Linked DNA regions of Xenopus tropicalis. The protein of the gene in region 2 binds, or shares a complex with, the protein of the main gene of each other region. Links are inferred from orthologs where the notes say so. Each region holds a gene or a part of one and is shown on either strand. Other genes may lie near its edges. The genes, in order: ppp1r7, ppp1ca, tox4, wdr82, rb1, mras and phactr1.

The links.
Region 1: the proteins of ppp1ca (region 2) and ppp1r7 are in contact, whole or in part, in a crystal structure (PDB 8U5G), measured with the Homo sapiens proteins. The link is inferred for Xenopus tropicalis from reciprocal best matches to the Homo sapiens genes PPP1CA and PPP1R7. Residues at the interface, in NP_002699.1 of Homo sapiens: Arg23, Pro24, Leu40, Arg43, Arg96, Gly97, Lys98, Ala128, Ser129, Ile130, Asn131, Arg132, Ile133, Tyr134, Gly135, Tyr137, Asp138, Lys141, Arg142, Ile146, Lys147, Trp149, Lys150, Asp154, Asn157, Pro192, Thr193, Asp194, Asn271, Cys273; in NP_002703.1 of Homo sapiens: Asn84, His85, Tyr86, Arg87, Arg106, Gln107, Leu109, Tyr128, Asp129, Gln131, Asp148, Ser150, Phe151, Phe170, Val172, Glu192, Gly194, Ser195, Phe214, Gly216, Lys217, Ser236, Gln238, Ser239, Tyr258, His261, Ser283, Glu300, Trp302, Asn304.
Region 3: ppp1ca (region 2) and tox4 share a complex: the UniProt entries of both Homo sapiens proteins name them as parts of the PNUTS-PP1 phosphatase complex. The link is inferred for Xenopus tropicalis from reciprocal best matches to the Homo sapiens genes PPP1CA and TOX4.
Region 4: ppp1ca (region 2) and wdr82 share a complex: the UniProt entries of both Homo sapiens proteins name them as parts of the PNUTS-PP1 phosphatase complex. The link is inferred for Xenopus tropicalis from reciprocal best matches to the Homo sapiens genes PPP1CA and WDR82.
Region 5: the proteins of ppp1ca (region 2) and rb1 are in contact, whole or in part, in a crystal structure (PDB 3N5U), measured with the Homo sapiens proteins. The link is inferred for Xenopus tropicalis from reciprocal best matches to the Homo sapiens genes PPP1CA and RB1. Residues at the interface, in NP_002699.1 of Homo sapiens: Lys168, Ile169, Asp242, Leu243, Phe257, Arg261, Met283, Thr288, Leu289, Met290, Cys291, Ser292, Phe293; in NP_000312.2 of Homo sapiens: Lys873, Lys874, Leu875, Arg876, Phe877, Asp878, Ile879.
Region 6: the proteins of ppp1ca (region 2) and mras are in contact, whole or in part, in a crystal structure (PDB 7TXH), measured with the Homo sapiens proteins. The link is inferred for Xenopus tropicalis from reciprocal best matches to the Homo sapiens genes PPP1CA and MRAS. Residues at the interface, in NP_002699.1 of Homo sapiens: Pro178, Asp179, Gln181, Gln185, Arg188, Ile189, Met190, Pro192, Thr193, Pro196, Asp197, Gln198, Trp216, Gly217, Glu218, Phe225; in NP_001078518.1 of Homo sapiens: Val6, Pro7, Ile31, Gln35, Lys36, Ile37, Val39, Asp48, Ser49, Tyr50, Leu51, Lys52, His53.
Region 7: the proteins of ppp1ca (region 2) and phactr1 are in contact, whole or in part, in a crystal structure (PDB 6ZEG), measured with the Homo sapiens proteins. The link is inferred for Xenopus tropicalis from reciprocal best matches to the Homo sapiens genes PPP1CA and PHACTR1. Residues at the interface, in NP_002699.1 of Homo sapiens: Pro24, Arg43, Gln68, Tyr70, Asp71, Arg74, Tyr78, Arg96, Gly97, Lys98, Ala128, Ser129, Arg132, Ile133, Tyr134, Gly135, Tyr137, Asp138, Trp149, Lys150, Thr153, Asp154, Asn157, Lys168, Ile169, Met190, Arg191, Pro192, Thr193, Asp194; in NP_001309240.1 of Homo sapiens: Arg424, Lys425, Ile426, Leu427, Ile428, Arg429, Phe430, Ser431, Asp432, Tyr433, Val434, Glu435, Val436, Ala437, Asp438, Ala439, Gln440, Tyr442, Asp443, Arg444, Arg445, Ala446, Lys448, Pro449, Trp450, Leu453, Lys458, Ile461, Arg462, Glu464.

The regions. Positions count from the first base shown.
Region 1 is NC_030681.2:125,950,176-125,954,307, reverse strand, and holds the start of ppp1r7 (protein phosphatase 1 regulatory subunit 7), read left to right. Parts: upstream 1-1,332; 5' UTR 1,333-1,338; coding exon 1,339-1,381; intron 1,382-2,159; coding exon 2,160-2,255; intron 2,256-2,836; coding exon 2,837-2,892; intron 2,893-3,126; coding exon 3,127-3,192; intron 3,193-3,629; coding exon 3,630-3,760; intron 3,761-3,954; coding exon 3,955-4,117; intron 4,118-4,132. Other genes in the region: pask (PAS domain-containing serine/threonine-protein kinase), read right to left, coding at 231-246. UniProt on the Homo sapiens protein: Regulatory subunit of protein phosphatase 1.
Region 2 is NC_030685.2:492,457-494,965, reverse strand, and holds part of ppp1ca (protein phosphatase 1, catalytic subunit, alpha isozyme), read right to left. Parts: intron 2,456-2,509; coding exon 2,324-2,455; intron 2,245-2,323; coding exon 2,014-2,244; intron 1,939-2,013; coding exon 1,834-1,938; intron 616-1,833; coding exon 392-615; intron 1-391. UniProt on the Homo sapiens protein: Protein phosphatase that associates with over 200 regulatory proteins to form highly specific holoenzymes which dephosphorylate hundreds of biological targets.
Region 3 is NC_030677.2:141,990,591-141,994,521, forward strand, and holds the start of tox4 (TOX high mobility group box family member 4), read right to left. Parts: upstream 2,801-3,931; 5' UTR 2,786-2,800; coding exon 2,778-2,785; intron 298-2,777; coding exon 117-297; intron 1-116. Other genes in the region: rab2b (ras-related protein Rab-2B), read left to right, coding at 3,401-3,446. UniProt on the Homo sapiens protein: Transcription factor that modulates cell fate reprogramming from the somatic state to the pluripotent and neuronal fate. In liver, controls the expression of hormone-regulated gluconeogenic genes such as G6PC1 and PCK1.
Region 4 is NC_030680.2:128,235,988-128,239,181, forward strand, and holds the end of wdr82 (WD repeat-containing protein 82), read left to right. Parts: coding exon 1-84; intron 85-230; coding exon 231-300; intron 301-383; coding exon 384-526; intron 527-704; coding exon 705-734; 3' UTR 735-2,694; downstream 2,695-3,194. UniProt on the Homo sapiens protein: Regulatory component of the SET1/COMPASS complex implicated in the tethering of this complex to transcriptional start sites of active genes.
Region 5 is NC_030678.2:135,009,316-135,012,815, forward strand, and holds part of rb1 (retinoblastoma-associated protein), read left to right. Parts: intron 1-2,473; coding exon 2,474-2,610; intron 2,611-2,949; coding exon 2,950-3,095; intron 3,096-3,500. UniProt on the Homo sapiens protein: Tumor suppressor that is a key regulator of the G1/S transition of the cell cycle. The hypophosphorylated form binds transcription regulators of the E2F family, preventing transcription of E2F-responsive genes.
Region 6 is NC_030685.2:87,979,977-87,983,963, forward strand, and holds the start of mras (ras-related protein M-Ras), read left to right. Parts: upstream 1-1,187; 5' UTR 1,188-1,293; intron 1,294-3,987. UniProt on the Homo sapiens protein: Signal transducer in the Ras-MAPK signaling pathway that regulates cell proliferation and survival. Core component of the SHOC2-MRAS-PP1c (SMP) holophosphatase complex that regulates the MAPK pathway activation.
Region 7 is NC_030682.2:91,700,389-91,703,888, forward strand, and holds part of phactr1 (phosphatase and actin regulator 1), read left to right. Parts: intron 1-885; coding exon 886-947; intron 948-2,115; coding exon 2,116-2,256; intron 2,257-2,716; coding exon 2,717-2,793; intron 2,794-3,500. UniProt on the Homo sapiens protein: Binds actin monomers (G actin) and plays a role in multiple processes including the regulation of actin cytoskeleton dynamics, actin stress fibers formation, cell motility and survival, formation of tubules by endothelial cells, and regulation of PPP1CA activity.

The DNA.
Region 1 (4,132 bases), on a different chromosome or scaffold from region 2:
AATAAGGCCTGCGATTGGCTATTTGGTAGCCCCTATTTGGCCTGGAAGCCTACATGAGGCTCTGTTTGGCAGTTCATCTGAGTTTTATGCCACCAAAACTTGCCTCCAAGCCAGGAATTTAAAAATAAGCACCTGCTTTGAGGCCACTGGGAGCAACATGTTGCTCACGGGCCAATGGTTAGGGATCACTGCTTTAGCGCATGGGCCTTTTGCCAATAATTACCACCTACCAACCATAGATAGCATACTTGATGTAAATGCCTGGCTCCAGTTCGGAAAACAGTTTTAGAATCTTTTTCTGATAACTAAAGAAGAGAGAATAGATAATTAGAACTGATGCCTGCATAAAATCACTGGAATTTTAGAATTAAATGCAGCTAATAGTCATTATCTGTTTTACAGCCAAAAAGTGGTTACATACGCTGATGAGAGGAGGCTATACTGTACATACTTGCTTTTGATGTAGCACCCCCTTGAGGGGGAACATATATAAAAAACAAGAGGCTTTAGGATGTGTGCTTTTATATAGTCATGGAATCGAATTACAAGGACAGGTAAAGGAGCCATCAGAGCTAGGGCAGCACCAGTGAGCCGATGGAAAAATCAAACCTGCTCGATTGACACCTGACCAATTTTCTGCCAGATATTGGTTGGGGAGGCCAATCAGGGATCACCATATATGGGCAGAAAAGCTGCCGAATCAGTCTGAAGAACTTGAATTGGCAGCTTGAATCTACATTTATAATATCCTTATATTTTACAGTAAAGGGTGCATTATTAAATATATATTGCTTAAAGGCTATCAGACATACATCCATTATACTCACAGGGGCTCATTTAACAACATGGGGCAGATTTACATCTGAACAGTAACACATAGCAACCATTCAATGATTAGCTTTTTCTTTCAGTTGGCTGCAGGTAGACCAATAACAGCAACAATTTGATTTGCAGCAATGGGTTACTGCCCAGGAGCAAGTTTGCAGTGTTGGTAAATGTTAGATAAATATCTTATAACCCTTTATAACCATCACCTCCAGCCACCCCCTGGAGACTCTGTAATGGAAGCACTCAGGAAGCACTAGTCAAACGCTCACTTACATCAAACATTGTATATGAGGTTACAGGATGGGCAATCTGTCTCCTAGAGCAAACACAGCATGTACCTACGTTGTACAGCGGCAGCGCTCTATGAATAGCCGTACAGCCTAGCAACCCAAGCGCACCTACTCAAGGGATGCGGAGTCTCCAACCCTACCCTGATTGGCTGGGCGTTTCCTTTCGCCGCTACTGATTGGTTCTACTTTATGCTTCCGGAAAGTAGAGGAAGAAGAAATAATGGCGGATGAAGAAGGCGAGACTGAAGTGCAAGAGATGGAAGGTAGGATTCCCAGTACTGTTCCTCTCCTTGTGTTCTCAGTGTTCCTAATGGGCTAATACACCATGCACTGCGTTTCCATATTAGCCATGTAAGTGTTATGTTCGGCAAAGTAGGGGTGACTGAGGCGGGGGATCTCAGGTGAATAGGGAATGGTTGCCTAAGCTCGGGGTGACAGCCCTGAAGGAGTCCTAAGTATGACTAGTTCTCTCCTCCGTGTCTTGTAGCCAAGAAAGGGTTAACGCTGGGCATGTCAGGAAGGGCCGATGTGTAGGATGTGGTGGAACGCAGAGGGGCCCCTTGGCTCGATCAGTGGCTGGCACTGTCACACACACCGGGGGGGGGGGGGGGGGGGTTAGGGGGAGAGCCAGGGACACATGAGCCATATGCATAGTTACGTTACCAAATAATTTTTAAAAATCATGGCTACTCCTAATAAACATAACACCTACCTATCATGCAGGATTCTCACATGACGTGGTAACCTTCTCTACATGGAAGGAGTGTGATAATTCCATAAAGCAGATAGTATAGTGTCTTGGCATGTAAGCAGGAACTGCCATTGCACCCAAGCCAGTGTGGGTACAGATTTCTTTTGCACAAATAGTGTAAAGATTTTTACACATCAGTTGTCAGTCACGTGCTGTTGAAAAGGAGTCGCGTCATTCAAAGTCAATTTCCCCTTTAAATGCAACATTAGCTTTCTGGACATAAATTCTTAAGGTAAACATTTGCAACTTTGTTGACTGCCGGCATGGGGTAAGACTACAGTCTTTTGCAGTGGACAGAAGAGAATCTGATGAGTCTGCTGATGATGAAGCAAAGGAAAAGCCAGATCGTGTGGATGGAGGGGTGAAGAATGGTGAAGTGCCACTAGGTAATTCTATATCTTTCTCATAATAGTTCATTGGTTGTGTAGTTATGATATGTCAGGCATAGGCATTGTTTGCAGCATGGGACATATTTTAGACCAGTGATTCTCCACCGCTGGAAATGTCCAAAACTGCCTGTGCCATCTGTCATTAAATTTCATGGCAACCGCCTGTCACCACTGGTACAAGACTTTGGCCATAACACATTGGCTGTTCCAGCAGTTAAGGTCGCTTGCAGTACACTCAATATCACAGGTGGTTTCATGCATTTCTCCTTAACCCTTTTCCTGATTTTGTTCTTTGGCCTGTGCCACACCGCATGTTGCCAATAAACACACTGCATGGTGTAGATCAATTAATGTCCCAGCAACTTAAAGGGCACCAGCCTGTCAAAAAATACTGTAAAATAGACTATATATGTCCTTTAATAGTGGCTGGCTTACTTGTTGGTTTTTACATACAGCTGCAATAACATGCCATTCACATATGGGCTTGTGTCAATCCCAGTATTTGACATATTTGCTGTAATTAAAGTGCACGTTGTATTTCATAAGTTTATCATTCTGACTGAGACCTTTATGTTCAGGAGAGGCAGATGCACCAGTGGATATAGAGACCATTAACTTGGACCCTGAAGCCGAGGTATTAACAGCATTCTTTTCTGTTTCTTTAATATATCATCGGTGGGGCATGGAATTGTTGTTGGAAACAGCGGTTTTTAAATTTAAGCTCTGTGTAAATAGCTGCAGAAAAGCAGTAGAGTTTGTTTTATGATAATGGACTAGCCCGATTCCCCCTGGACTAGTACTACTTCTGTCATCTTATTTGCCTGATATTTAATGTGATTTTTTTTTTTTTTTTTTATGGTTTCTCCAGGATGTTGACCTGAACCATTTTAAAATAGGAAAGATTCAAGGCTTTGAGGTGCTCAAGAAAGTCAAGGTAAATGATTAAATATGAAAAAAATATAGTGCTTATGTTGTACTTAATGTGTATTATCCTGTCAAGGAAATTATATCATATTGTAATACTTTACACTGAATCTGTCCCAGTGTTCTGTTTTTAATTTAAAAGGAAGTATTTTTCTCCTAAAAATATGCACTATGCTAGGTTTTGAGGTTCCATTTATTATGCCCGAGTTCATCCGGAATTTCATGTACACAAAGGCCCCAAACAGCAACCTGCCAGCCAAGCAAGTTCTATACATTCCTCAGTACTAGGGACCCGTTAACCTTAGCATCTCCCATCATGACTCATAAATGTGGTGGCTTAATAAATGGTGCCACACCCTAAATAATATATTTATAGCAGATTTTTAAAAGATCCATAGAAAGAAGAAAGTTAGTTTTCTGACCATTGTTCTGTTATTAAATCTGTAGACTCTCTGTCTGCGCCAGAACCTGATAAAGCTGATTGAAAATCTGGAGCAATTGGTAACACTGACTGAGCTGGACTTGTATGACAATCAGATCCGCAAGATAGGGAACCTGGAAACCCTGAGAGATCTCCAGTAAGCAATGTCAAACTATGTCTATTAAGCTGTTCTTAAATTAGTTGATCACTTATATACACACATATAATTTTATCTGAGTGTTTGGTAAATCTGACCACAGTTGGTCAAAAGCCAAGCTTTCCATTGACCTCATTCAGAGTTCAGTAAGAGAAATTACTTTGATTGTGTTGCCTTTCATTCTTCTCTTGCAGAATCCTGGACCTCTCTTTCAACCTCCTGAGACGCATTGAAGGATTGGAGTCATTGTCTCACCTGCAGCGCCTTTACCTTGTGAATAACAAGATCAGCCGCATTGAAAACTTTGGAACCCTAACGCAGCTCCGCTTGTTGGAACTGGGCTCTAACCGGCTGCGGGTGAGTGTATGGGAA
Region 2 (2,509 bases):
GGGAGAGGAGTAAGGAATGGGCGGAGCAGACGTACCGTGGGGTGGGAATGGGCGGAGCAGACATACCTGGGGTGGGAGAGGAGTAAGGAATGGGCGGAGCAGACATACCTGGGGTGGGAGAGGAGTAAGGAATGGGCGGAGCAGACGTACCTGGGGTGGGAGAGGAGTAAGGAATGGGCGGAGCAGACGTACCTGGGGTGGGAGAGGAGTAAGGAATGGGCGGAGCAGACATACCTGGGGTGGGAGAGGAGTAAGGAATGGGCGGAGCAGACATACCTGGGGTGGGAGAGGAGTAAGGAATGGGCGGAGCAGACGTACCGTGGGGTGGGAATGGGCGGAGCAGACATACCTGGGGTGGGAGAGGAGTAAGGAATGGGCGGAGCAGACGTACCTGGTGAGCTCGGCAGATGAGGTCAAGGTCATGTTTGTGAAGAAATTTTGCTACTACATCAGCCCCAAAGGTGAAGGAGACCCCGCGGTCGTTCTCCCCCCACCCAAGCACATCTTTGTCCGGGTCCGACCACAACAGGTCACACAGGAGCCCCTGGTCCGGTACATCGGTGGGACGCAGGATCCGTCTGACTTGCTCCATGGACTGTAGGTCGGGGGAGAGGCCTGAAACACAAATGGGGATGTGAGTGGGGGGGGGGGGGGCAGGTTCTGATGGATCCAGAGTAGGCACAACTGTATACCGGGGGGGCACACTAGCTGTACAGTATAAGAAGGTGTGGGGTTCCCGGGGGGGCACACTGGCTGTACAATACAAGAAGGTGTGGGGCTCCATGGGGGGGCACACTAGCTGTACAGTATAAGAAGGTGTGGGGTTCCCGGGGGGGCACACTGGCTGTACAATACAAGAAGGTGTGGGCTCCATGGGGGGGGCACACTGGCTGTACAGTATAAGAAGGTGTGGGGTTCCCGGGGGGCACACTGGCTGTACAGTATAAGAAGGTGTGGGGCTCCATGGGGGGGCACACTAGCTGTACAGTATAAGAAGGTGTGGGGTTCCCGGGGGGGCACACTGGCTGTACAGTACAAGAAGGTGTGGGGCTCCATGGGGGGGCACACTGGCTGTACAGTATAAGAAGGTGTGGGGTTCCCGGGGGGGCACACTGGCTGTACAGTATAAGATGATGTGGGGCTCCCGGGGGGGCACACCGGCTGTACAGTATAAGGTGTGGGGCTCCCGGGGGGGGGAACACTGGCTGTACAGTATAAGGTGTGGGGTTCCCGGGGGGGCACACTGGCTGTACAGTATAAGGTTTGGGGCTCCCGGGGGGGGGCACACTGGCTGTACAGTATAAGGTTTGGGGCTCCCGGTGGGGGCACACTGGCTGTACAGTATAAGGTTTGGGGCTCCCGGGGGGGGCACACTGGCTGTACAGTACAAGAAGGTGTGGGGCTCCCGGGGGGGGGGGCACACTGGCTGTACAGTACAAGAAGGTGTGGGGCTCCCGGGGGGGGCACACTGGCTGTACAGTATAAGAAGGTGTGGGGTTCCCGGGGGGAGCACACTGGCTGTACAGTACAAGAAGGTGTGGGGCTCCCGGGGGGGGGCACACCGGCTGTGCAGTATAAGAAGGTGTGGGGCTCCCGGGGGGGGCACACTGGCTGTACAGTACAAGAAGGTGTGGGGCTCCCGGGGGGGGGGGCACACTGGCTGTACAGTATAAGAAGGTGTGGGGCTCCCGGGGGGGGGCACACTGGCTGTACAGTATAAGGTTTGGGGCTCCCGGGGGGGGGGCACACTGGCTAAGAAGGTGTGGGGTGTGTATTCACCCCATTTGGGCTGCCCAGACGAGCCCTGAGGGATGGGGGCAGCAGGGAACTCACCCCCGTGGCAGCAGAAGATCTTCTCATCCACGATGGCGGCCACGGGCAGGCAGTTGAAGCAGTCGGTGAAGGTTTTCCACAGCTTAATGTTGTAGCGCCGCTTACCTGCAGGGGGAGACAGAGGGCATTAGGGAGCGCACTGGTTACCGTGGGTTACAGCCTGGCCCCGCCCCCGCGTACACTCATCGTAGAAGCCGTAGATGCGGTTGATGCTGGCGCACTCGTGGTTCCCGCGCAGCAGGAAGAAGTTCTCGGGGTACTTGATCTTGTAGGCGAGCAGCAGGCAGATGGTCTCCAGCGACTGCTTCCCCCGATCCACGTAATCCCCCAGGAACAGGTAGTTACTCTCGGGGGGGAAGCCCCCATACTCAAACAGGCGCAGCAGGTCGTAGTACTGACCGTGCACATCCCCTGGGGGGAGGAGAGGGAAGCCAATCAGATCCGCAGCTACACACAGAGGCGGAGCCTCGGCACCCAGGGCCCTACTCACCGCAGATCTTCAGCGGGGCCTCCAGCTCCAACAGGATTGGCTGGCTGAGGAAGATCTCGCGGGACTTCAGGCACAGCCCCCGGATCTCATTCTCCGTCAGCTGAACATTCTTCCCAGGGCGGCAGCCTTTAACTGTAGGGGGGGAGGAACAGGCCAGTCAGGAACTGGGGAGGGGGGGCCCCGTTA
Region 3 (3,931 bases), on a different chromosome or scaffold from region 2:
GAGCACTTAAAACATGCATTTAATAATACTAATACTTTTTACATATAGAATAAAACAATCTTATATAATACATCTTAGCAATGCTGTAGCACCCACATTTTGTTAGTGTGTCTCACCTTGCTATACCCATACACTCCATAGAGAGGCTGAGAGTGGAGCAAACCTGGCATATCAATGGAGCATGGAGCTCCCTCATCTCCTGTAAATAGCATGTGGTGGCCAGGGAGGCCCCCATCACTGCCATCTGTGTCCAAACCAGAAAATAGGTGTAGGTCCATGAGTCGAAGAGCTAGCCCCCTACAGAGCACACAACACTTCAGTTACACAAGGGATAATGACCTCAAGCACAGATTGAACTATAGCATCAACTATCCCAAAGCTAATGACTGAAGAAAGGTTGAGAGTTGCACAGCAAGAAAGCTACAGGTTAGATTCTGATGAGTCTGTGGGAAGCAAAACCTTTCACTACCTAGTAACACAACACCCAACAACAAACACCACAATTTGCAAACCATATGAAGCCTACATTATAGTTGAATGAAACAGTCTATGTTTTGAGGAGCACAACATTAATGCAAGCTGTGTAATGCAAAGATCAGGTAAATACATAGGGGCAGATTTACCAAGACACAAACGCTCGGAGCGTTCATTCAAACGCTCTGAGCATATTTTCATCTAATTTTCCTGCTGTTTACAATCGCTCAGTACGAAAATTTCGTGACTTTCGAATTGCCAATACGATATTATCATGACTAATATGATTTTTCCGTAAGCATATTTGTGATATTTGCGATCTTCAGAAATGATCGTATCCAATCCGAATTTATCCCATTTGGGATTCGAACTCACGTTTTCATGAATGTGCCCCATAATTATGTGACACTAAGGACCGCTGGTCTATCTGAGGCGTTAAGCACTCAATGGTAGGTCCCAATTTCATGGTGCCAAACAAAACCACAAAGCCAACACAAAGATAGGCACTCAGTTCACGAAACAGGCAAACCACAACAAGGTTTTTTCTCCCGAAGGAAAGAGGCATCACCAACACAAAGTCTATTGATCCTCAAATCATGCAAATTCTTAAATTTTTTCATTTTGTGGTCTAACATTTAGCCAGGACCCCTCAGCTCATAACAAGAGGGCAGATACATGGGATCTTTTATACAGAAACCCGTTATGTAGAAAGTTCCAAATTACGTGAAGGCCATCTCACAGACTGCATTATGAGCAAATCATTTTTAAAAATTAGAATTATTTCATTTTTCTCTGTAACAATAAAACAGTACCTTGTACTTGTTCCTTACTAAGATATAATTAATCCTTATTGGAGGCAAAACAATCCTATAGGGTTTATTTAATATTTAAATTATTTTTAGTAGGCTTACGGTATAGAGACCCAAATTACAGAAAGACCCCTTATCTTTTCCCATGACCAAAAATACACTTTTTGGTCACTACAGGGCGGCTTCTTAGCCTGCAGATAAATGGCAGAGGCAGAGAATTCGCCCGTACGCTTCAAGAAGCTTATGGACGTGCATGCACCTGTAATCGCATCAGTCCACAGGCACCGGATTTCCCTACAAAAACTGCAAGTATGCAGTTACGTGTGGAAATCCACTCTGTGTGCAAGCAGAGAATCCACCCCGTGTGGCAGGAGCCTAAGTGCTCTCATACTTCACTGCATTAACTTGAGGGAAAAAAAAAAATTGTATTTTAAGGGAAGTCACCCTTTTTTGGAACAACAAAAGCAATTTTTAAATACGCATTATGAATCACATCAGAGTTATTTACAAAGTACTTGCTATTAAAAGCAGAATCTGTCTGTTTTCTGCACTGCTGCTTTTGCTTTCAATTGTAATTACATTTACAAATAGCTTTAAATTAATTGAAAATGTTTAATTAATGTATAGTGAAATGTTTAACATCTTTCATTATGCAACAAAAGTTGGAGAGATTCCCCTTTAAATTGATCACACCCTTTTCTTTATTCCATTTTTCACTTCATGTCTAAGTTAGCTAACTAAAGGTATAATTTCTCTATATTTTTGCTCTGATCAATGGTTAGCACTCTGCTTGTATGAAAAGACCAAAGAATTTTCCTGTGAAATAAAATGCTGCACTGCCTCCTATTAAAACAAGTTACAATGACAACTGTTACAGCATTCAATAATTATATAAAAGCAATATTTTATTAATCACAGAAACATTGCTGCTAATTATGCAAACACTTCTGAGGCTGCTGCTGCAGAGGGGGGGGGCTCCTTTGCTTTCATGTATCTGTAACCTTATTATGAACTAAGGGGCGCTCTGGCCAAGTTAGATCTCATGCATGAACTAAGAAACTCAAACAACCACTGTCCAGTGAGTGAAGAAAGAACATGTAACTGATCTATTACAGCATCTTGCCATATAAAAGTAAATAAACCACAAATGACCCTTCTCTGGCTTCTGAATAACAGCATTCATCTCTATAACATTTTACTATTAGTGACACAGACAATAACAAATAGAAGCTTCCATGTTAATGCTGGCAGTAAACAAGCTGTTTCACCACAGATACAAATAATAATAGTAATTTCAATTCACAGTACAAGGAATGCAAGTCTTCTATCAGGCACATCACTCTCAAAGAAACACATTACTTATCCACAACCCCATAGCCAATATAAATATTCAATTGACAGGAACCTGTTACCACTGAAACGAAACCCCCAACACAACACGTTCTGAAGAAACTATAAGTATTGGCACCAGGGGATTAGAGATACTTGACGCACCGCGACATAATAACAACTACATTGTACGATCTTTAAATGCTACACGTTTTCTGTGTTTGATCCGCAGGAACTATAGTTCCCTTCTCGCCACTTCATTAACCTGCTCTAATGGCCCACATAATCTGCGTTTTGAAAATCACCACCAACACGCATACGGAATCAAACTAGCTGTATACCGCGTTAAAACCGAAACTAACACAATAAAATACGTAATTTACCCAACTCACCTCCATTTTCACGGCCTGAGACTCTTCTTCTTTTCAAGCACACTTCCCCGCCTCTACAAAGATGGCGAGACATCCGCTTCCGGTAAAAGCAGCGAAGCCATATTGGTACAGTAATGCTGCTACTCATTCCTCCTATAGTATAACAATAGGATGTGAGGCAGCCATAGAGACTATTCATTAGAATGCTACACGTATCGAATACAAAAGAGCGAACATCCGGCTTAGTAAAGAACGTCGCTACAAGCCGTACACCAGATAGAGAGTCTTTTCCGGAAGCAATAGAGATGAGACTGCGTGGCAAGAACGTCTCTCTGGGAGCTCTAGTTAGAGTAAGGCAGTTCAAAGGAAGCCTCCTCCCCGTAATCACCTGCCTTGGTGGCTCTGACGATTGCCATCATGTCGTATGCCTACCTCTTCAAGTATATCATTATTGGTGATACAGGTGCGTACGTATTTTAAATGATTTTATCTATCGGTTTACGAATATTGGGTGCTATTATTATGCTCTTGTAACCTTGATGCTTTTTAATTTTATTTTGTGTATTAAATATAAAATCATGCATATGCTAGCATAAAATGAGAATATTCCGAGTTTATGTACAATAATATATTATTTTTAAATAGCAGCTCTTGGTGTTCTGTTTTGCAGATGTTTTTCAAATTTGTATGCAATTACAGATTTGTGTATATGTATATATCTTTGTATTTATACAGGTAATGTTAGGAGCCACATCATTAAATATTATAGAGGCACATTGCAATTTGTGTATCACTTATAACAGTGATGGGTAGTTTTAAAGCTGAGTTGCCAGAGCCCCATATTTTCTCCATGAATAATCAGAAAGAGTGCACATATTTCATGTTAGTGATAATGCAATACAATGCATTTTATTACATTAAGAGCCGTATTTCCTACAGTTTAACTTT
Region 4 (3,194 bases), on a different chromosome or scaffold from region 2:
GGGAAACTTATCTTAATGTCAACCAATGGAGGCTTCCTTCGTCTGGTTGATGCTTTTAAGGGGGCTGTTATGCACACGTTTGGGGTGAGTAATTTTTTTTTTCATTAAAATGGCCTGAACAGGTAGAGCCCTTATGACTTCTTGTCATTAAACTTACTGCTGTGGAATATATTTGCACTTTATGATGAATACGTTACTAAATAACAAACTTATAATGAATTTTTTATTAGGGCTACAACAATAGTAAGGCTGTCACCCTGGAAGCTACCTTCACTCCAGATTCCCAGTTTATTATGATCGGTAAGTTAGAAGAAAACATTTATTAATATCCCAACTATTGTGCAATATCCACTCCTCTCACTGGTTCATCTCAATCTCTGTAGGCTCAGAAGATGGCAAAATTCATGTTTGGAATTGTGAGAGTGGTATGAAAGTAGCAGTGCTGGATGGCAAACACACAGGTCCTATCACATGCCTACAGTTCAACCCCAAGTTCATGACGTTTACTAGTGCTTGCTCAAACATGGTAAGCACAATCATATTCTTTGGTTGTTATAACTGGCACTTTATACAGCTATTGTTGCATTATCAAGTTATTAATGTCTTCTTGTAGGCTATGAAGTCCCAAAGTATACAGTTTGTGGCTAGCTTTAGAATCTATGAAAATCCTGTGGATAATTGATTCTAACAATCTTACATTGCAGGCTTTTTGGCTACCAACTATTGATGACTGATGCATACAGAGAAGCTGGCATTTGTAAAAATCCCATTCTTCAGCTATTTTCCACAAATAAATCTTCACAATGCCCGGATATATGAAGAACAAGAAAATGGTTATTTTTTTTATTCTTCCATAAAAATACCCCAGTATTGAGCCAACATTTCTCTTTGCCAAAATAAGAACTGTTCTTCGGTACATATCAAGATTTATGAACTTCTGTTTTTTACCTTCATGTACTGGGCACTTATTTTGTGGAATGGTGTATATATTTTTGTCATGTTTCTCCTGACGAACCTGTATTTGAGACACATGCTACCAATCTCTCTTTTTATATCCTTTATATACGCTTCCATCTGTATTTGTTCTTTGGAGCAGGATTTAAATGTTCACTATGGTAAGAATCCACACCAACCTTGTTACACCAGATATTACACCAGAGGTAGATTTCATGGTGGATGACGCACTAAATAACCGGCTAAACCAGATTCTATTTAGATACCCTCTCTGTCCAGAGTTAAAGGCTGGCAAGAAGCTACATCTGTTATTGTTTTGGTTAATTTTAAGAGAAATTTTATTAATGCAGTGCTCCTTCCTTATAGGCTCTCTCTCCACACCTGTAGTTACTGCCACAAGTATTACACAGATGTGCATCAAATCTACACAGACATATTCCTATAACACAATCCCATGTTACCAGAAACAGCAATTTTGACTCCTTCATGCAGTTGATTTAAACTGGAATTGCTTTATATCATTTATTATTGATTTCTGTGTTTCCTTTGATTGTTGAGAGATGCTGGATGTGTTTAATAGCCAACGGGCCGCAGGTTAAGCATTGTCCATCTGTTTTCTATTTCAAGTCAGTACTGGTAGCTTTGTGGGGAATTTGCTTATTAGTGCTGCCCCAATTTGTTTAGATCAGGATTATGATTCTTTCATTAATTGGTTAATCTATTTGGTAATATAATTCATAAGTAGCAGAACAGTATATATTGCTCTCATATTCTGTAAGCAGCATTATTAAACGGGCATTATTAAACTGGCACTAGTATTAAGAACTGCCTGGGTTGGCATCCACACTACCAGCACTGCATTGGCCTGGCTGGCATAGGACAAGTAGCTTCTTTCTTGCCCACAGACAATCGTAGCTAGCTGAAAGTGAAATACGTAGGTTAAAGGGCAATCCATATATACCACTGAATTCAGCTTTTAAGAAAACATTATGTGGTTAATAACCTTGTTAATAGAGGACCCAGGAAAAGTCTGGGATCTGTTTTGTGACCACAAATTGGTTGGAAATCAAATATACACTTCATTTTAATTACTTTCTGTTGTTCATTATCTTAAAATGAGTCACATAAACATACCAAAAGCAGCATTGGGTTCTTAACCATAGATTAACAGTTCCTGTTGGGGGAATGGTGATATTGTTTGCCTCGGTAAAATCACTCTACATAGACTAAAAAATAGCACAATCTAGGAGTCCTAGTTAATGTTGGTTTGCTATCAGTATAATAGCGTTATGTTTTATTTATATAATAAAAAGAAGCCCCAAACTGTCATCTTAAATTAAAATTAATGCAATACCCTATTTGGAAACTAGGTGTGTTTGGCCCTTTAAGATCTTGTGTCAAGTAAGCAGTAGGTGAAAAGATTTTACACTTCAAGGAAATGTGTATTTTACAGCTCCAGAATATGATAGTTTATTTTTAACCACACAGAACCTTTTTAAAAAAAAAAAATAAACAAAAATATTGTATGGTTTCCTCATGTCAAGGAAGCCTCATAAGCAGTATTCAGTATTTCAAAATAAAGATATTCCACAGCATAAAGGATTTATCTCACTGTCTCATATACATTTGAGGATTGTGCATGTAAATAAGAAATGGATTAAACCATTACTGGGGAGCTAAGCAGTGTGCAGCTGTTTCTTGTAAATTATGTTTTTTTACATAAATAAAATATTAAAACAACTATGTACTGTTTTATTTGAGTAATGTGTTTAATATCTTTAATGCCCAATACACAGATGGTAAAAGTGCACTTGACACCAGCATGTCAGAGCACGTTACAATTTGGTATTGTGTCTTAAATAATCAGATTACTCTTTCCCCTTTTAGCAAACCTGTCTCTCTACATGCAGCATTGTCGGTTATTTTGAAAGATAGCTCTTATACATTATCTAGGCAATGGGGGTTATGACCAACGATGTGTTTGACTTAGCTGTCCTTCAAAATCTGTCCTTCAAAATCTCGTGCATGTAGAAAGGCATTGCTAGGAAGGGGATAGTGAAGAGTTATTCAATTATTTCATAAAACTGTGTAAAAGTTTTGATTATATTCAGAATGTTTTATTTCTATGAGATAAAGTTTATATTACAGTTTCACTATAGTTCCCCTGTTATACATTGTGATGGCCTATTAATAACCAACATATTAACTTGATATATAGAGAATGTCCTGCCCTTAAAATA
Region 5 (3,500 bases), on a different chromosome or scaffold from region 2:
GGAATGTGACTTAACTTTCAGATTCTGATTTTGTATTTTTTTTTTTTTTTAAGTTCTTGCACTTATTAAAATAATAGGAAAAAACGTATGTTCAGCACAAGCCCTAATTATTGAACCCATGGTGACATACTGCTCCTTTAAGTAAACCCAATGTAGAGATAGGGGGTATTTACAGTAAAGGAAGTCCCTATATTTCCTGTATCGAAGTAGGAGAATATTATTGCAAGTATATACGTTATACATTAAAGGATAAATGTTTCCAGAAATAATCAGAAGATTAGAAACAGATACATGAGATTGTTTTGCAGTTTTATGTATCTTACAGCACCCAGCCATTCACATTGAGAAAAAATGCCTAATGTTACAGCCTGTGGTATGAGATAAAAGCAGTTCCGTTTCCTTTGAAAACAAACTATTTGCTCTTATTTCAAAGAGACTTGGTGACTGGGGATTCTGTTAACAAATAGTCCAAAAAAAACTTTGACACATGCAGCTCTACAACTGTTAAGGCATCATTCTGACATGTCCTTCTTTTGTCTAGTCCTGCTAAATCATGTACCAACTATTTCTGTTATTGGCTTCCATGAATGTTCCTGCTGATCTACACAATCTAATAGATAGGACACTGCAGTGAGGTTCTCTATGCCAAATCATGATCACACACTGCGAATACTATGTGAGGCTTGCTGTAACATTACATATGAACCACAGAGGTGAGACCAGCACTGAATAAGAGGCACCAACCTAGAGGCTAAATGCAGGTGCATCTTGGCCACATTCATTATGCCGCTTACGCTTGGTCTAAAAGTGTGTGAACAACTTCAAAAAATAGGCTGAACATTGATGTTTTGGGCTTCTGTATCTCAGAAGCCGGCATGGAATAACTTTGCCTAAATACACAAATATATTTTGCTTGAATACTATACCAGTATTACATGCATCAAGTATCTAATACAATGGTGTTTTGGCAAAAAAATTGTGTCTGCAAGTAAACAAGATGGTAGATATCCAGTTATAAATTAAAGGACAAGGAAAGGCAAAGTCACTTGGGGGTGCCAAAATGTTAGGCACCCCCAAGTGACTTAAATCGCTTACCTTGTACCCCAGGCTGGTGCCCCTGTTAGGAGAAAACAGCCCAGGGTACCTGTATGGGTGCGCTTCCTCCTTCGTTTTGGAAGGACTAACGACAGACGCATGTGCAGTAGAGTGAAAAGCAGACTTCTCGCGACCTTCGTGTGCGCAACCGAAGACGGAAGGAGGAAGCGCTGCAGCTACCCCAGGCTGGTGCTGTTTTCTCCTAACAGGGGCAACAGCCCGGGGTACAAGGTAAGCGATTTAAGTCACTTGGGGGTGCCTAACATTTTGGCACCCCCAAGTGACTTAGCCTTCCCTTGTCCTTTATGTTTTATTTATGGGAAGCAGGAAAAGAAGCGAAATATTATTATTACTAACACATATTTATAAAACGCTAACATATTCTGCAGTGCTGTACAGTAAATGGGTGTATACATTGAGCATACATTAAATACGTGTATACATTGAACATGCAAGATTACATACCAACAACTGATTCAAGAGGTAAAGAGGATTCTGCCCAAAAGAGCTTACAATCTAAAAAATATACACAATATTAAAAATGTAACAGATTAAATACAACAACAACCAACAACTGATTCAAGAGATAAAGAGGGTTCTGCTCAAAAGAGCTTACAATAAAAAAAAAATAAACACAATAAAACAGGCCTGGACTGGGATTCAAAATAGGCCCTGGCATTTCAAGTACACAGAGACCCACATCTTACAGCAGCCCCTCTGGAATTTGAGTCCACAGATTGCCAGTTCAGGCCTGCTTGCACATACACCAGTGCTTACAGTCACACAAATTTCCCCGCACTGCAGCAGAACCAATCTCACACTATAGTATCAAAATGTACAGTGCTGCATAAATACATACATACATACATACAGACAGTTTTATACAAATTTATACATACAGACAGACAAATTTAAGGGCAATGTCACATGGTGCTATTTGTAGCCTGTGTTTTGTCGTAGCTACACAACACCAGCAAAAACCCTGCCATAGACAGTACTGGGAATTGTCTCTGCTAAAACATTCAAATTGTGTAAATGCTCAAAAGTTCATACAAAGGCATTTTTAAATATTTTCTGGCGCTTTGTAAGTGGCAACAAAACGCAGCCTGTCATTGCCCTAAAGGACAAGTTGTTAGGCACCCCCAGAGACTTTAATCTCATACCTGATACTCCTGGCTGGCACTTGCCTGGGTAGTTTACAATACTTGGCTCATGCAAAAATAAATGTGTCTATTTGTGATGAGGTGATCATTAATGTATTAATTGGTTAGAGTTTTGCATTACTTTTCTTGTTTTGGGGTGGGGGGGGGGCGGCGAAGACCCAAAGTAATTAATGAACCCATGTATATTTTTGTGTTTTTTGTTCTGTAATGTTTAGGTATCTCTCACCTTCAAGATCATCCCATCAATGTCCTGTAACTAGTGTGCGCACCTCATCTGTTACTAATGGGCAGGTTTCACCCTCACAACCAGTTCAGCAGAAATCAACCTCACTGTCACTCTTTTACAAAAAAGGTATGATTTTTGGTTTTGTTTTAATGCACGGCACTTATTGGGGTAAAGAATATTACAGAAGGTACTACATTTGAAAACGATCGCTTTAAAGGAGAATGATAATGATAACAAAATGATTATTAAAAGTATTGTTTGGAATATAAATTTATTCCTAAAGCCCCAGAATTTTTCACAGAGCATGAGAGGCCTCTGCAACTGAGATTTTAAAGCTTTAGTCTCAATCCACTCCAATGAATATCACGTTTGTGCAAAATATATATATAAACCAAAAATGTTGTATTGCCGTGACAGTATTATCTTTATTTTTTTGTGGTAATTGCTGTTCCTGTTTTAATCTAGTGTATCTTTTGGCATATAAGCGGCTTAGCAGTCTCTGTTCCAGCCTTCTCTCTGACCATCCGGAACTTGAACAGGTGATCTGGACACTTTTACAGCACACACTACAGCATGAATATGAACTTATGCGTGACAGACATTTAGACCAGGTACTGTATTAATATATTTATTGTTTTGTCACACTCCATGATTACTTATAATTAATTTGCAGAGAAGAAAAGGGCATGTGTTTCCTTGTTCATTGTTAAAGTATAGGTAATGCATTCTACCTGGAGTTGTATAATAAGACCTAACAATAATTAAATAAAATAATTTTTTTTTTATTGTTTAGATAAAACCATAAGCAGAATACATTTTCATTACAAGCCCTATTTAGTTGGCCCATGCTCTACATACACAATATTACCAAAATGATCTTGCCACCTACTTGTCTACCATTAAAAGTATTGTTAGTATACATGAGCATTCTTAATTTTTGTGCAGAAAGAGGAATCAAGTAATTCTCCCGAGTGTATACCATAGTGCTAAGGTTTGTTTTTTTACTGGGGCCCTAA
Region 6 (3,987 bases), about 87 Mb from region 2:
CATAGTGTTTCCCTTAGACAGTACAGTATGGGGGTACAGCTTATTGTGTGCCCAGAACATTCCTTCTCTGTATATTTGTATTTATACATATGGGTAGGGGGTGCCATAGTGTTTCCCTTAGACAGTACAGTATGGGGGTACAGCTTATTGTGTGCCCAGAACATTCCTTCTCTGTATATTTGTATTTATACATATGGGTAGGGGGTGCCATAGTGTTTCCCTTAGACAGTACAGTATGGGGGTACAGCTTATTGTGTGCCCAGAACATTCCTTCCCTGTATATTTGTATTTATACATATGGGTAGGAGGTGCCATAGTGTTTCCCTTAGCGCTACACAGGGACCAACCATGACCCCTCTCTGGAATTCTAATGGCCCAGCTGTAGATTTAGCAACTATTAGTTTCATGTTCCTAATCAGAGGGTCCATTGAGAGCCACTTATTACTGAGAGACAGTTATAGAGAGATCCATTGGCCAAGCCATTACAATTTAGACAAGAGAGAGATAATTATGAGTGGTTATGGGATACCTTGCAGTGCTGGGCCGCTGAGGCTGCTGGGACATGATGACATGAGAGACAGAGCCAGTGACGCCGGAGCCCCGGGCTGTGAGTGTATCAGGGCACCTCTGGGTGCCAGCTGGGTGTCACATGACCTGGCACAGACAGTTGGCCAATCCAATGCGATGCCATAAGGGCAGCCTCACAGTCACTGACAGATGGAACGCTTTCTACAAGGAGTGGTTTCCTTAAGGTGGCCCCTTTCTACATATATGTATCTGCCTTCATGGGGCCAACTGAAGTCTGGCATTTTGATGGTGTTAGATATTAGTATGGGAGGATCATATCTATACGTGTAATCGCATAGTCTGTGTCAGGGTGTCAGACCCAACTCCTGTCACAATGCCGTTCCACCTTAACAGTGACCTACTATTGGTACAGCCCGTGGAACAGTCTATTGTGTGCGAGAGGGGGGATCGCTGTAAGGGGAATACATTGGAAGCTTAGTATGGCCCCCAGCAGGGAGTTAGTGGCACATTATTGGATTATAAACCTTACGGTGGGTGTAGGGGTTCATTTCGGGGGGTGTCTCCCACAGGTGAGGCCGGGGGCTTGCGTGGGGAGGGAGAGGCACCCCCGCGTACCATCTATTTTTAGCAGCAGCTGTTGCAATATAAAGAGTGGGAAGCGGAGGGGAGGCGGCATTGCTCTGTGGAGGCTGCGGGATCGCTGCTCACCTGGTACCTGCCATGAGTCTGTGCCCTGCTTAGTCCGGCCCGGAGGCCTCCGCTCAGGTATTTCTCTAGGGCAGTGCCAACTGGGGGGGGGGGTCGCTTTGATCCAGGGGGAACTTCAGAAACCCCAAAGGCAGACAGGGCTGGCTCTCCCCCCCCATACCCACTGTATGTACCCCAAACCCACTGTATGTACCCCAAACCCACTGTGTGTACCCCATACCCACTGTATGTACCCCATACCCACTGTGTACCCCAAACCCACTGTGTGTACCCCAAACCCACTGTATGTACCCCAAACCCACTGTGTGTACCCCATACCCACTGTATGTACCCCAAACCCACTGTATGTACCCCAAACCCACTGTGTGTACCCCATACCCACTGTGTGTACCCCAAACCCACTGTATGTACCCCAAACCCACTGTGTGTACCCCATACCCACTGTGTGTACCCCAAACCCACTGTATGTACCCCAAACCCACTGTGTGTACCCCATACCCACTGTGTGTACCCCATACCCACTGTGTGTACCCCAAACCCACTGTATGTACCCCAAACCCACTGTGTGTACCCCAAACCCACTGTATGTGCCCCAAACCCACTGTGTGTACCCCAAACCCACTGTGTGTACCCCATACCCACTGTGTGTACCCCAAACCCACTGTGTGTACCCCATACCCACTGTGTGTACCCCAAACCCACTGTATGTACCCCAAACCCACTGTATGTACCCCAAACCCACTGTATGTACCCCATACCCACTGTGTGTACCCCATACCCACTGTGTGTACCCCAAACCCACTGTGTGTACCCCATACCCACTGTGTGTACCCCAAACCCACTGTGTGTACCCCAAACCCACTGAATAGAGCATTCTGTGACTATATGTACCCCAAACCCACTGTATGTACCCCAAACCCACTGTATGTACCCCATACCCACTGTGTGTACCCCATACCCACTGAATAGAGCATTCTGTGACTGTATGTACCCCAAACCCACTGTGTGTACCCCAAACCCACTGAATAGAGCATTCTGTGACTGTATGTACCCCAAACCCACTGTATGTACCCCAAACCCACTGTGTGTACCCCAAACCCACTGAATAGAGCATTCTGTGACTGTATGTACCCCAAACCCACTGTATGTACCCCAAACCCACTGTATGTACCCCATACCCACTGTATGTACCCCAAACCCACTGAATAGCCATTTAGTGACTGTATGTACCCCATACCCACTGTATGTACCCCAAACCCACTGTATGTACCCCAAACCCACTGAATAGCCATTTAGTGACTGTATGTACCCCAAACCCACTGTATGTACCCCATACCCACTGTATGTACCCCAAACCCACTGAATAGAGCATTTAGTGACTGTATGTACCCCATACCCACTGATTAGCCATTTAGTGACTGTATGTACCCCAAACCCACTGTATGTACCCCATACCCACTGAATAGAGCATTTAGTGACTGTATGTACCCCATACCCACTGAATAGAGCATTTAGTGACTGTATGTACCCCAAACCCACAGTATGAACCCCACAGGGATTGTAAGGACCCTTAGCCCAGTGTTTATACCCAGACCCAGTGTGTGCACCCCAAACCAACTGTGTGCACCCCAAACTCATAGTATGAACCTCATTAGGATTTTAGGTATCCATAGCCCACTGTGTTCACCCCAAACCCACTGTGAGCACCCTAAACTCATAGTATGACCCTCATAAGGATTTTAGGTATCCATAGCCCATTTTGTGCACCCCAAACCCACTGTGTGTACCCCAAATTCACAGTATGAACCCTACAGTGATTTTAAGCACCCCTACTAAAAACCTGCTGTATGTGCCCCCCAAATATGTTGAATGGTATTTACCCCAAAGATACTGTATGTACTCCCATACCCATTGCATATACCCCACAGTCACTGGTTGTAACCTGAACCCTCTGTACCCCAAACCCACTTTCTGTGCCTAGCAGGGACTGTGCCAGTCTGCACCCAAAGGGCACGCATGTACTGTACCCCCACGTGTGTGTGTGTGTGTGTGTGTGCATATATATATATATATATATCAGTAATAGGGAGGGGGTAAAGCTTTGGGTCTGGATCTGCCTTTATTGGGTTCTGTGTACAGCCCAGTAACACTCCTTACACAGTATCAGCGGTACCACTACATGCCTGTTACATGGAAGTCTCACAGGGTGTAACGTGTGTGTATAGTAGGTACAATGTGTATGGTGGGGCAAGTAACACTGTGTATTAGAGCTCTGCACTCACCAGGCACCTACCCTTAGCCATCAGCCCCTCTGTGGGAGTTGGGAGTTGTCTCCTCTCCACTATAAACCCCATTCCCTATATAATCCACTCACTACATGGGCTAATTAGAGGCATGGCTGCGCGGAATCCAGTGTAGTCTTCAGCATGAATCTTAATGGTGTACTAATTAGGCAGAGTGAATGCTGTGGATGGGGGGCGGGGCATGTCCCACCGGTACAGTGTGACATCATGAGAAATTGACGTGACATCACTATGACACAGGTGGCAGTCACTGCTGGTTCTGACTGTGTCACTAAGCGTTGGGCTTTGTCAGGTGATGTCCGTTCAAGTCTGTGATAGGTCGTTTTGGGCACCTTGGTGCTGCAGGTTGTGTCCCCAGAGTTGTACTCACGGGCTGTTCTTTATTAGCCAAACTATAACTCCCAGCACCCTTCCTTATACTTGTGTGTATTGTATGGCATGGCCTGTG
Region 7 (3,500 bases), on a different chromosome or scaffold from region 2:
GCAGCCCTATCAGCAAAAAATTATCACCATGACATATAGGTAACTTTTTGTGTAGGTTCATATTTTAAAAATTAGTTTTTTCATGTCAGTATCACTTTAAGGCAGGCACTGTTAGGGGCTCTGTACTTACCTACAGCTTCCCAGTTCCTTGCTGTCCCTGCTGTGGTGCACAACCATAATGGGTGACCTATGCCACTGTGACCCTGCATGGCTGGAAGAAAGCTGTGACATATCAAGTGTGGAATTGTAGAATCTTTCTGCCCTGACCTTGGCTTGTTGTTTGGAATCCTGAAGCCCTCACTTGGCTATGCTTGGTAGCTTTGTCCTTCCATTTAAACCCTTAAAAACTTAGACCAAGTTCGAATAATGCTCACCTCAGGAAGTTCTTTGGGGTTTCAAGGGCTGGCAAGCCATAAAGTAGACTGATTCCAGACTTTTGCATTGGTATATGGAAATGTAACATATGCAGTGCCTTTGTTATAAATTCTTCTGGTATAAGACACTTTGGCCTCTCCTGCAACCCATAGAGATTCCTATCATTTTTCCCACATGAGTAGTAAACCTCAGGTAATTAGCTAGGCTGTGCCTAAGCATTGAAGGTATGTGGACAGTTACTTAGTCTTGCAAAAGAAAAGAAGGAGCCAGCTTTCAAAACATACAGTTTCTGCTCATTGAAAAGATGAAAGAATGGCTTACTTAGTGGACAAGTGGCAGAAGAAGTAGCTAATAGGTAAAGGAAATAGGAGTTGTGTGCAGTCTAAACTCCAATTAGGCTTCAGTGTTTTGGCATTAGAGAAATGTGCAATTATCACACACAAGTTGCAGAATGTAATACTAAAATAAATGGCTAAGTTTGGATTTGCTAATATTGTACATTACTTTCAGCTCGAAATGAGCAAGAGGAACAAGAAGAAAAGCGAGAGATTAAGAGAAGACTGACACGCAAGGTAAATAATGTGCTAAATAGCATTAATGCATATTAATAATCCCCATAAAAGCAGCACAGTGGCAGCTGGCATCATGGCTACTGGTAAGAAAGTCCAATATCACAGCAGTTAGATAAATCCTATACATAATAGCAGGTGTAGAAGGAAGGCCAATAAAGAGTTAATCTCAAGCTGCAGGCATACCTTCAGTTCTCTCAATAGTGCCCTTAAGTCATATTTCTCCAGTTCAGATGATCAGAAGCCTCATAGGAAAAAAAACCGCTGAGCTCTGTAAAGAAATTTCCCATAATGCCTCGCTCCTGAACCAAGACCAAGACCGGTGTACATGCGCAGTTTGTAAGACTATGAGGAAGCTTCCTGCTGATTGCCTTAGATCACACATTCCTAAGGGGGGGGGGAGTGAGTTCTTGAGGGAGGGGGGAGCAGGATAGAGGAGAGAGCTGCGTGTCTCTGGCACAGGATAACAAAGAGACAACAAATCCTGTTTTTTTTAGCAGAGAACTCAGTGCAGCGTTTCTGTGAGTGCTTACGGCTGTATTTACATAGACCTTTCTGATAAAGCTTACTTAGTGTTTACCTTTCCTTCTCCTTTATGAATAATAAAAGAAACAAACAAGTTTAGATTGGATTTTTAAAGACTGATTTATTGAAAAATAAAGTATATATTGCTAAAGCCAAATAGGTCAAAGTCTACTAGTAGAAATGTGGGGGTTCAGGTGCACATCCCAAAGACTACAGTTTAAGGTGGTAAACCACAAGCATCTGATCAGGCCCAGATTTGTGGAGAGGCCACAAAGGCCCGGGCCTAGGGCGGCAGAAACCTGGGGGCGGCATGCCGCCCCGCCGCACCAAAATCTAAAAAGTTTTGTACCCATATGGAGCAATGGGGGGACTTCTCCCCACTGCTCCGTATCCAAGTTTGGCCCACTGCGCATGCGCGCACAAGGCGCCCCCCGTTTGCGCACGCAAACCCCTCTCCCCCTGTATCGCGCATGCCCACTCGGGGGGGGGGGATGCGTGCGACCGGGGGCGGCCTCGGGGCGGCCAATTTGGAAATCCGGCCCTGCGTCTGATCATCTTTCCTGAGACCAAAGGTCTCTATCATATGCATTCCATTGTACTAGACCCAGGAAAGGTAAATAATAATTATTAATATGTATTTTTGCAGCTTAGTCAAAGGCCCACAGTGGAAGAACTACGAGAGAAAAAAATCCTTATACGTTTCAGCGATTATGTGGAGGTGGCAGATGCACAGGACTACGATAGAAGAGCAGACAAACCATGGACTCGACTAACAGCCGCTGACAAAGTTTGTGCCTCTTTTTACTCATTATTCAGCATTTACTGAGCTTTTCATTTGGTTAACAAAAAACAATGATATAATAAAAGAGACCACAATATGTTTGCCAAAAATAATTACTGCAAATTAGTTAAGTGTAAATTTACTAAACTGGCAAGTTGCATTTACTATTCTGCTATTTGAAGGCAAATAGAATGGGGAGGATAAAAATTTTACTGCTTACAATTCCTTAATTTCCACATTTGAACGCATTATGGGGTGTATTTATTGACATGTTGGCCATAGCAATCAATCAGAACTTTGCTTTTTTTTCTAACTTGTAGGTTACTGTCCAAATCTAATTGCTGATTGGTTGCTATGACCAACATCACCAGTGATATTTGGCTCCAATGTTAACACTCCCCCATGTGTGGAGACATATTGAAACAATACCACTTACACAATTGTCTACTGTTTATATTTATAACAGGCAGCTATTCGTAAAGAACTTAATGAGTTCAAAAGTACAGAAATGGAAGTCCATGAATTAAGTAGGCATTTAACAAGGTAAGTAAAAGTCATCTTCTTGTGTTTTATTGTCTCACAGTCTTAATGTTTATGTTACAATGAGTCTATTTTCAGTGGTGACCAAACAATGGGGAGTTGGAGCAAGATACACAAGTTAAACTGGCCATACAGTATAAGATCTGCTTATTTGGTGAGGTAGCCAAATAAGCTATGCCCCGATATGCCAACGTAAAATGGGCCTTATCGTTCTAATTTAATCGTTTTCCCTAGGGCCAAATTATCACATTACAGTGAAGGGAATTAGAGCCATCGGGGAGAGGACTGCATCAATAAATTGTTGAGGTGCTCAATCCAGCGGGAAAATCAAGCTTGCCCAATTAACATCTGGTCTTTTTTCGGGCAGATATTGTTCAGATAGTACCATCAGAGGACCCCATACATGGGCAGATAAACTACTGAATCAGTCTGAATCGGTCTGAATCAGCAGCTTAAATCTGCCTGCGTATGGCCATCTTTATTATCACCCATATCAATGGCATGACAGTCCTGTATATCCTGGGTTTTAATCTTGCTGTACTGTGTGTTACCAGTGAACACAATGTCGATCAAAGAGTAAACCATAAATGTAAGTTCTCTCTAGCATCAACATTTAGGTACCTGAAAGCTGTCATAATTTTTGTTTTACAGAAAAACATTTGGTTAATGGTGCAGATGCTTAGATAGAAAATACTAATATTATATAGCTG